Macaca mulatta: one gene and its partner. The protein of the gene in region 2 purifies or fractionates together with the protein of the main gene of each other region. This does not show direct contact. Links are inferred from orthologs where the notes say so. Each region holds a gene or a part of one and is shown on either strand. Other genes may lie near its edges. The genes, in order: NCK2 and LRFN4.

Region 1 (4,296 bases), on a different chromosome or scaffold from region 2:
TGATAACCCATTAAAAGGCTATCATGACCTTCTTCTGAGTTGGCTTAACTCAGGCATGGAACAACACACATGAAATCACGTTTTAGCTTAGGGCCTTTGAAAACGTGCCATGAAGTACTTCCATCACACATTTTAGGAAAGAGAAACCATTTGGAAGTGCCACTTGCCATCCCTCTGGATGGGAAAACTAATTTCCTAAGCCTCTGAAGTCAGTTGTGGGGAGTTTCCAGTTCACTTGTGAAAACAGTTTTCCCAAACATCGCTCATCATCCTCCCCTGCAGTTCCGGGAAGCAATTTTGGGCTCTTGTCATTAAGCCTCATTTTTAATGTCAGAGAATGAATTCCACAAGCCTTGTCTCCCCCAGTGCACATGGCAAGCCAGTCCGAGCAGTTAGAAAAATGGGTGTCCCATAGAGCAGCACAGCCTGCTCTAGCCAGGGCAAATTAAGCTAGCTCAACTGATCAAGTAAAGGACTCCAGTACATTCTGCGCCATTCGCGGAGTCTTAGGGTATTTTAAAAGGTTATCCAGTCTGTGCACATGCAAGGAAGATTTCCGGTGTATTTAAAATGGATGATAGTGCATTTCTCAAATATAGTACTGTGTACATAAGATCTGCTGTTTGTTGGAAAAGCTAAATAACCCAAAATGTAAATGACAGAGCCTGGGAATATGTCAGGGTCAAAGAGAGCAGGGATGAAGAAGATTTAAGTATGCAGCGCGTCCTAAGCAAAACACAAAGCCTGAAAACTGAGCACAGCCACCTGCAAGGCACCTTCAGCGAGCCCCACGGTTAACAGGGTCAGTTTCTCCACAAGTGGACAGAGGGGCTTATGCAGCAGCCAACTCTTCCTGATGGTAATTTGTGACCCAATTTCATCCAGTGTTTCATGATCAATCCCCCTGAATGTTTATGAAGCAGGAAAGAAGCTCAGAATCCAGGAGAGGCCTCCCGGACAGGAAGTGGGCCAGGCACCTCCACAGCTTCCTATGCCTAAAGTTCTCCATTTCAGCCTCAAGTAGCCACCAGAAGACCACTAAGATTCCGCCACCTTCTCCAATCAAAACTACATCTAACCAACCTCCAGGGGAGAATATACTGAGGTAGGATTTTCCCTTGTGTTCACTTCTTCACAAGCAAGGTTAACACTTGCTTCTCAGGAAATCCCTGTTCCAAACATCAAAAAACTTCCATGTCTAGCCCAATCTCCAGGTGAAGTCAATTTCTTCTCCACGTGTCCGATGACCGCCATTCTCTTTACATAAAACTCGCATAGGCTTGAATCCTGTTACTAATTCACCTGCTTATCTATGAAGCTTGGAAAGTGAATTGAGGGAGTGTTCACAAGCACAGTTCCGTTTCGGTAAGGTAAAGCAGCCCAGGTTAATTTCATTTTCCGTCACTTTTGAGACTTGATAACTACATCTAAAACAGAGGCATGAAAAACACCCTGAATCACTTTCATTACTACACAAAATCCCTTCCGAGAAGCGGGGACTGGGCCTGGGCCAGGAAGGGACTCCCCTACCTGTGGGTCCCACCAAGCCACGCCCACCGGCCTCTCAGGGTGGTTTCTTTCTGGGTCGAGGGATGGAGCTGGCCCATGCGATATTTTAGGCCCCCTCCTGCCCACACTGGGGCCTGCTCATCCCATTATGCATATGCAAACTTGGCAGAAGCGGCCTTAAACCTGTTGGCAAAATAAACAAAGCCAAATAAAGAGGAATCTGCCAACCTGAATTGTGAGAAGTGACCAAGGCCGACTACACGACTCCACGCCCGCTCGGCTTTGTCCCTGAAGCTGCTACAAAACTAGTTTAAGTCAGGTGCCTGGGGTCCACCAGCCAATGACCCCTAGCATCCAGCGCAGACCTTCACAGAGATCCTTATTGTCTACAAATTACAGCGTTTTGCAAATTAAACCCCTCCCCACAATGCCAAGCTAACTGTGCTCATAAGGGAGTTACCGTCCATGCCTTAAAACTCACACATCAAATTTTTCCAAAACCACTGGGTGATTAAATCGCCCTGAAAAACACCGAGAGGGCCGAGCGGTTGTGAGAAACTTTGGTTCAGGTGGCTGTAAGAGTCCTGTAAATCTGGGGCAGGGCGCAGAGCCTGAAGCCGGGCACAAAAGCTCCCTTCGCCGAAGCGAAGACCTCCTTTATGCGATGTGACAGCAGCTTTGTGCGCGATCATAAATAGTTGTAATAAACACAGTTAAGTTCTCCCGGCCGATCGCGGCCTCCCCGGTCCCTGCGCCGGGGCCCTGCGATCCGCGGCTATTCTTCCCCGGCACACGCGCCCTGGCGACCCTGGCCACCGCACGGTCCCACGCTAGCCCCGAGCTCCGTGCCAGCCGCCCGCCCGCAGGCCAGGCGCAGCCTGCGCACCCGGGGGTCTCCAGTCCCCGGGCCCCGCCGCCGGGCCCCCTGCCCTGATCCCCGCCCGCGCCCTTGGCTGGCGTCCCCGCCTCTGCGCCGGGCCGCGATGGTGGGGGTTGGGGATGGGAAGGCGGGCAGGAAGGTGCCGAGCCGGGAGATGCCCGGCAGCCCACAGTCGGGGGCGCCCAGGCCGCGGCGGGGCCGAGAGTACCGGTGGGGCGCGGAGGCGACCCGCTCTCGCAGCCCCTTCCCGGGCGCACCCCGGCCCACGAGCCCCGCCGCGCTCCCAACTCCGCCCAACGACCCCAAGTTTGTGGCCCCCTCCCCGCGCCCGCCTGGCCGTGCTTACCTCGCTGTGGGCCGCCCGCGGAGCCGGAGGGCAGCGGCGCGGGTCCCGGGGCGGCGGCCGCGCTGCGCCCGCCCAGGCGCCGCTCTTTGTCTGCGCCGCTCCCTCCTCCCGCCGCCGGGCGGACGCTGCCGGCCCGGGCGGACCCCGCCGGCCCGGGCGCCGCGAGCCTCCCCGCAGCCGAGCCCTCCCCTCCGCCCGCCGTCCGCTCGGCCGCGCGGCTCCGGCCTGACGATCCCCGCGGCGGCGGCGGCGGCGGCGGCGGCGGCGGCGACCCTCCCCCGGCGCGCAGCGCCCGCCTCCTCCGCGCTCTTCCTCCTCCTCCCGCGCTCCTCCCCGGCAGCGCCGTGACGCCGCCCAGGGGCCGGCCCAGGCCCGGGCACGCGGGGCGGGGCGGGGACCCGAGACCCACCTGGGGCGCCCCCCGGCGCCGCCAGGCTCCGCGCCCGGGTCTCGGTACGGGCGCGGGTATAGCGCGGGGCTGCGGGACGCTCCGCTCTGGAGGCGCAGCACTGGCCCGGCGCCGGGGACAGGAAAGGGTCCCCACGCCCGAAATTGCGCGCGGGCGGTGGGGGGCAGGCTGGGTGGGTGGGGAGGAGAGTGAAAACATAGGCTGCAACTTCCAGCCTGGGATGCCTGCCGGGTGGGCTTTGCGTCCTCTTGTTTGTTTGTTTGATGTCCTTATCGCGAAGCTGTAGTTGCTGGGCAGCCGCCCCCCTCCCGGAAGCATTCCCACGGCACTCAGCTAAGCAGGCCTGGTGTCCATCAGAAAAGTGACTTAAATAAAAATGTCACTTCCTCCTTGTAATTGCTTGTGGGCATTTTTATTTATTTGTCTTGCATCTATTTACTTTCCCAACCAGACACGTTTTTAGTCCATCATCCCTGTCTGAGGCACTTCCTAAAGGGAGAAGAAACTCGACCTCTGTTGCCTCCCAGGCATCCAGGCCAGCCCCAGCCAGTGGAATCCTGGTTGCACACCCATGGGGACAGGATCCGAAGAGGAGCTGCCCGAATGTGCCCCTAGAAGGAGTGTCGCTAATGATGGGACTGTTCAGCTCACCCAGCCTCAAGTTGTGGCTAGCCTATAAACAAACTTGGAAGATTAAAACCCAAAAGCAAGGGGAAAGACGCAAGTTTCCCTTTCACAGACACATGCATCCGGATGTCTTTTCTCCTCCCCATATGGTTTCCCAAAGGAAATCCTAATATTCAAATGATTCTGATTTCCTGGCAGGATAGCCTGCATCCATGTTAATGAGATTCTTTCTTAGGCTGCTGGTCTCTGCTTACTATTAAGACAATAATAATTTATCCAAGGTTACAAGGCAGTATTATTTGATTCAGTCATCTGCTTCCTTCCAGAAAGGAAGTACCCAAGGACAGGTAACTAGAGTCAGTGTAGCTTTGAAGTCAGACAGGTGAGTGTTTGTTGACTTCCTGAACTGTGTAACCTTGCACAGGTGGTCTTAGCCTTTCTAACATCTGTCAAATGGGGAGATAATATTTACCTACCTCCTATGTGAAGGACTCTGGCAGTAGGTAGCCCTCAATAGCTCAGTAA
Region 2 (4,581 bases):
CCACCTGGTCCATGGGGATCAGGGCTGGAGGGAGGAGAACGAGGATGGCTGAGGTTTAGGTGGCCTAAGGACCAGGAGACACGGGGAGGTGGTGACTTCCCCTGTTTCCCAACTGGCCAGACCGCTGGTGGTGGCGGGCAGCTGGAAGGAGACCAGGCTCGCCGAGCCACCCAAGCCCCCCAAGCCCCAGCTTTCTCCACCAGGAAGCAAGGAACCTCCCCCACCTCACGCCGGGAGCCCTTTCTCTGAGCCGAGCTGGTTCCGAGCCGCTCTTCCAGGAAAATGGCCCGGCGGGGACAGAGCGGGAAGGAGGGGCTGAAGGCGCTGCGAGGACGCACAGCTTCCCACTGCGTGCCCCCGGCCGTTGCGAAGCCGCGCCGCGCAGACCAATCCGGCCCGAGGCGGAGGCCGGTTGGCTCGGAACGCCTGGCCGGCGGGGCGGGCGGGGCAGCTGGGGAGGGAGGGAGAGGCAGCAGAGACAGGGCGGGGCGGCGGGGGCGGGGCGCCTGCCCAGAGGCCGAGCCCTCTCGGCCCCACCCCGCAGCAGCCTTGCCAGTGGGGCCGCCCCAGCCCCCCCACGGCCGAACCCCGTGCCGGTTGGGGACCCTCCACGTGACTCGGTGATGCAGAACGGTTATGACCTTCAGCGTGTGTCTGTGAACGCGAGGGTCCCAGCAACAGTGCGGGTTTGCGCTCGGCCCTGCCCGTGGGTGCAGGGACGTGTGGGTGTGTGGGCATGTGTGGGTGTGCTGGGGAGGGTGCCCAGCGACATGTGACAAAGACTCCCGTCTTCGGGAGATGGTGAAGGGGTCCGCGAGCAGGCGCTTTGTCTGGCTGGCTGCAGAGTGAGGTTCGCGCCGCGGCGGCGGGCGCCCGTGCGGTGCAGGATGCCGGGGCGCCAGGGTGGCCGGGGGCGCGCGCGCCTGTGCCAGGGTGAGTGCGCTGCGGCAGCGCCGGGGGGCAGCGCGGCGGGCCCGCGCCGGCCTGGGCCTCGGGCGTGACTGGGTGCCACCCGTGGGCGCTGCAGCAGCCGCGTGTCCCCGTGACCTCAGGAGCCGGCCCGGGCCCGGGTGGATCCCCGCGCGCCCCTCCCCGTCCGCCCTCCACGTGCGTGTCCACGGCGCGCGCGCCCGCCGGCGCGCACCCGCTCGCCTGTCGCCGCCGCCACCGCGAACCGCGCTGGGAAAAGGTGCCGGGAACCGAGCGAGCCGGGGCCGCGGGCCCGAGCGCCATGGGCCCGAGGGTGGGCGGCGGGCGGCCGGTCATCCCCGGGCCTCGCCCCCGCGGGAGAGCGGCCAGGAGTCGGCGGGGGCCGGCCGGGCTCGCAGGGAGGCCGGCCCGCGCCCCCTGAGCGACGGACACCAGGTGAGGGGGCCGCCGGGCGCAGCGCGGGGGCCGGCCTGGGTGGGGACACGGACTCCACGGGAGGTTCGGGGGGCGCCTTCTCTGGCGGGGGAGGGGATGGCGCGGAGGGGGGAGGGGACTGGCGATTCCTGGGAACGCCTGGGAAAGGAAGTTCCGGGACCCTCCCTGCTCTCCGTCCTCCTCCGCTTCCTGCCTCATGTCTCACCTTGTGCCCAGCCCCTGGACTCCCCCTTAACTGCTTGGGAAATGTGACCTTTGCTCTGGGGGGCCTGGCCCTGCAGGCCCCAACCTTCCCTCATCCCTGGCGGCCCTCTTGGGCCTCTGACCCAGCCCCTCCCCGGGCCAGGCTCACAGAAGCTGGCTTCTGGGACTGTCCTGGGCCCAAGTGGGCACCTGCGCCAGCCCCACCTGTGCCCGGGCTGTGGCCCTTCCCTACAGGGCACTCACCATGGCCCCGCCGCTCCTGCTGCTGCTGCTGGCCAGTGGAGCGGCCGCCTGCCCGCTGCCCTGCGTCTGCCAGAACCTGTCCGAGTCGCTCAGCACCCTTTGTGCCCACCGAGGCCTGCTGTTTGTGCCGCCCAACGTGGACCGGCGCACAGTGGAGCTGCGACTGGCTGACAACTTTATCCAGGCCCTGGGGCCCCCTGACTTCCGCAACATGACAGGGCTGGTGGACCTGACGTTGTCGCGTAATGCCATCACCCGCATTGGGGCCCGCGCCTTTGGGGACCTCGAGAGCCTTCGTTCCCTGCACCTGGATGGCAACAGGCTGGTGGAGCTGGGTACAGGCAGCCTTCGGGGCCCCGTCAACCTGCAGCACCTCATCCTCAGCGGCAACCAGCTGGGACGCATCGCGCCAGGAGCCTTTGACGACTTCCTCGAGAGCCTGGAGGACCTGGACCTGTCCTACAACAACCTCCGGCAGGTGCCCTGGGCCGGCATCGGCGCCATGCCTGCCCTGCACACCCTCAACCTGGACCATAACCTCATTGATGCACTGCCCCCAGGCGCCTTCGCCCAGCTCGGTCAGCTCTCCCGCCTGGACCTCACCTCCAACCGCCTGGCCACGCTGGCTCCGGATCCGCTCTTCTCTCGTGGGCGTGAGGCAGAGGCCTCTCCCGCCCCCCTGGTGCTGAGCTTCAGCGGGAACCCCCTGCACTGCAACTGTGAGCTGCTGTGGCTGCGGCGGCTGGCGCGGCCGGACGACCTGGAGACCTGCGCCTCCCCGCCCGGCCTGGCCGGCCGCTACTTCTGGGCAGTGCCTGAGGGCGAGTTCTCCTGCGAGCCGCCCCTCATTGCCCGCCACACGCAGCGCCTCTGGGTGCTGGAAGGCCAGCGGGCCACACTGCGGTGCCGGGCCCTGGGTGACCCCGCGCCCACCATGCACTGGGTTGGTCCTGATGACCGGTTGGTTGGCAACTCCTCCCGAGCCCGGGCTTTCCCCAACGGGACCTTAGAGATTGGGGTGACTGGCGCTGGGGATGCTGGGGGCTACACCTGCATCGCCACCAACCCTGCTGGTGAGGCCACGGCCCGAGTAGAACTGCGGGTCCTGGCCTTGCCCCACGGTGGGAACACCAGCGCTGAGGGGGGCCGCCCCGGGCCCTCGGACATCGCCGCCTCGGCTCGCACTGCTGCCGAGGGTGAGGGGACGCTGGAGTCTGAGCCAGCCGTGCAGGTGACGGAGGTGACCGCCACGTCAGGGTTGGTGAGCTGGGGTCCTGGGCGGCCAGCAGACCCAGTGTGGATGTTCCAAATCCAGTACAACAGCAGCGAGGATGAGACGCTCATCTACCGGTGAGAACATGCGCCCCACACCCGGCTGCACTCCTGGTGCCCTCCCTCCGCCCTCTGCTCCCCACAAGGCTTTGCTTTCGCTCCTCCTCTCTCTGGGGCTGAAAACCCCTCCCGGACCATGGCTGCTGGACTCTTGGAGGAGCAGTGGCCTGGCCTGGCTGCCTGAGGGGCTGGAGCTCAAGGGGTGGCAGGAGGACCCCACCCCATGAGATGTCCCAGGTGTCACTGAGCTGTGCAGGCCTCCTCCGGCAGCAGGTGGCGGTTGGGTCTGTTTGAAGCACATGGCCCGCGCCCGCACGCGTTATTTCTGCCCTGCTGGTGCCATCCCCCCACCCCATCCCCCTCGCTTGCCTGGGTCCTGTGCCAGTGCACACACCCATCTCCTGGCCACACTCTTGAGCCTGTTTGCCTTCCTGAGTAAATGCAAGAGCCCGAGTGGCCCCCGGGGGAGGGGTGTTTGAAGCTGGGAGCACGGGAGCGGGGAGGTGAGGATGGGGCTAGACCCCAGCCCCCAGCTCTGACCACCTGCCCTTGCCTGCAGGATAGTCCCAGCCTCCAGCCACCACTTCCTGCTGAAGCACCTGGTCCCCGGCGCTGACTATGACCTCTGCCTGCTGGCCTTGTCACCGGCCGCTGGGCCCTCCGACCTCACGGCCACCAGGCTGCTGGGCTGTGCCCATTTCTCCACGCTGCCAGCCTCACCCCTGTGCCACGCCCTGCAGGCCCACGTGCTGGGCGGGACCCTGACTGTGGCCGTGGGGGGTGTGCTGGTGGCTGCCTTACTGGTCTTCACTGTGGCCTTGCTGGTTCGGGGCCGGGGGGCTGGGAATGGCCGCCTCCCCCTCAAGCTCAGCCACGTCCAGTCCCAGACCAATGGAGGCCCCAGCCCCACACCCAAGGCCCACCCGCCACGGAGCCCCCCGCCCCGGCCGCAGCGCAGCTGCTCTCTGGACCTGGGAGACGCCGGGTGCTACGGTTACGCCAGGCGCCTGGGGGGAGCCTGGGCCCGACGGAGCCACTCTGTGCACGGAGGGCTGCTCGGGGCAGGGTGCCGGGGGGTAGGAGGCAGCGCCGAGCGGCTGGAAGAGAGTGTGGTGTGATGCACGGGCAGCTTCCTGTGTGCTCCAAGGGATGAGCCTCGTGGGGCAGAGGGCCCAGGGCGGCCACCTGGCCTGGGAGTCCCTCCCTGGTTTTTACTCTCGGTACCTCAGGCTCCCCTGTGTGCTTGGCGGGGCAGGGAGCCCTTTCCTCGGTTCTGGCCTCCAGACCAGAGTAAGGGGCAGGTCCCTCCAACAGGTGCTCACAGCCACCAAGGCAGGGGCTGCAGCCACCAATTGGGAGTCTTGTTTTTATTTATAATAAAATTGTTGGGGACACCTCAATGCTAGTCTCTGGTCTTGTCTGGCTAGGTCCCCCAAG

Evidence for each region.
Region 1: the proteins of LRFN4 (region 2) and NCK2 purify together in Homo sapiens (co-immunoprecipitation; 3 studies listed by BioGRID and IntAct, counting the BioPlex papers as one, with this or other methods). This does not show direct contact. The link is inferred for Macaca mulatta from reciprocal best matches to the Homo sapiens genes LRFN4 and NCK2.

The regions. Positions count from the first base shown.
Region 1 is NC_133418.1:13,841,939-13,846,234, reverse strand, and holds the start of NCK2 (cytoplasmic protein NCK2), read right to left. Parts: upstream 2,963-4,296; 5' UTR 2,736-2,962; intron 1-2,735. UniProt on the Homo sapiens protein: Adapter protein which associates with tyrosine-phosphorylated growth factor receptors or their cellular substrates. Maintains low levels of EIF2S1 phosphorylation by promoting its dephosphorylation by PP1.
Region 2 is NC_133419.1:7,545,933-7,550,513, reverse strand, and holds LRFN4 (leucine-rich repeat and fibronectin type-III domain-containing protein 4), read left to right. Parts: upstream 1-1,665; intron 1,666-1,803; 5' UTR 1,804-1,813; coding exon 1,814-3,162; intron 3,163-3,703; coding exon 3,704-4,262; 3' UTR 4,263-4,544; downstream 4,545-4,581. Other genes in the region: uncharacterized protein LOC144334105, read right to left, coding at 226-1,563. UniProt on the Homo sapiens protein: Promotes neurite outgrowth in hippocampal neurons. May play a role in redistributing DLG4 to the cell periphery.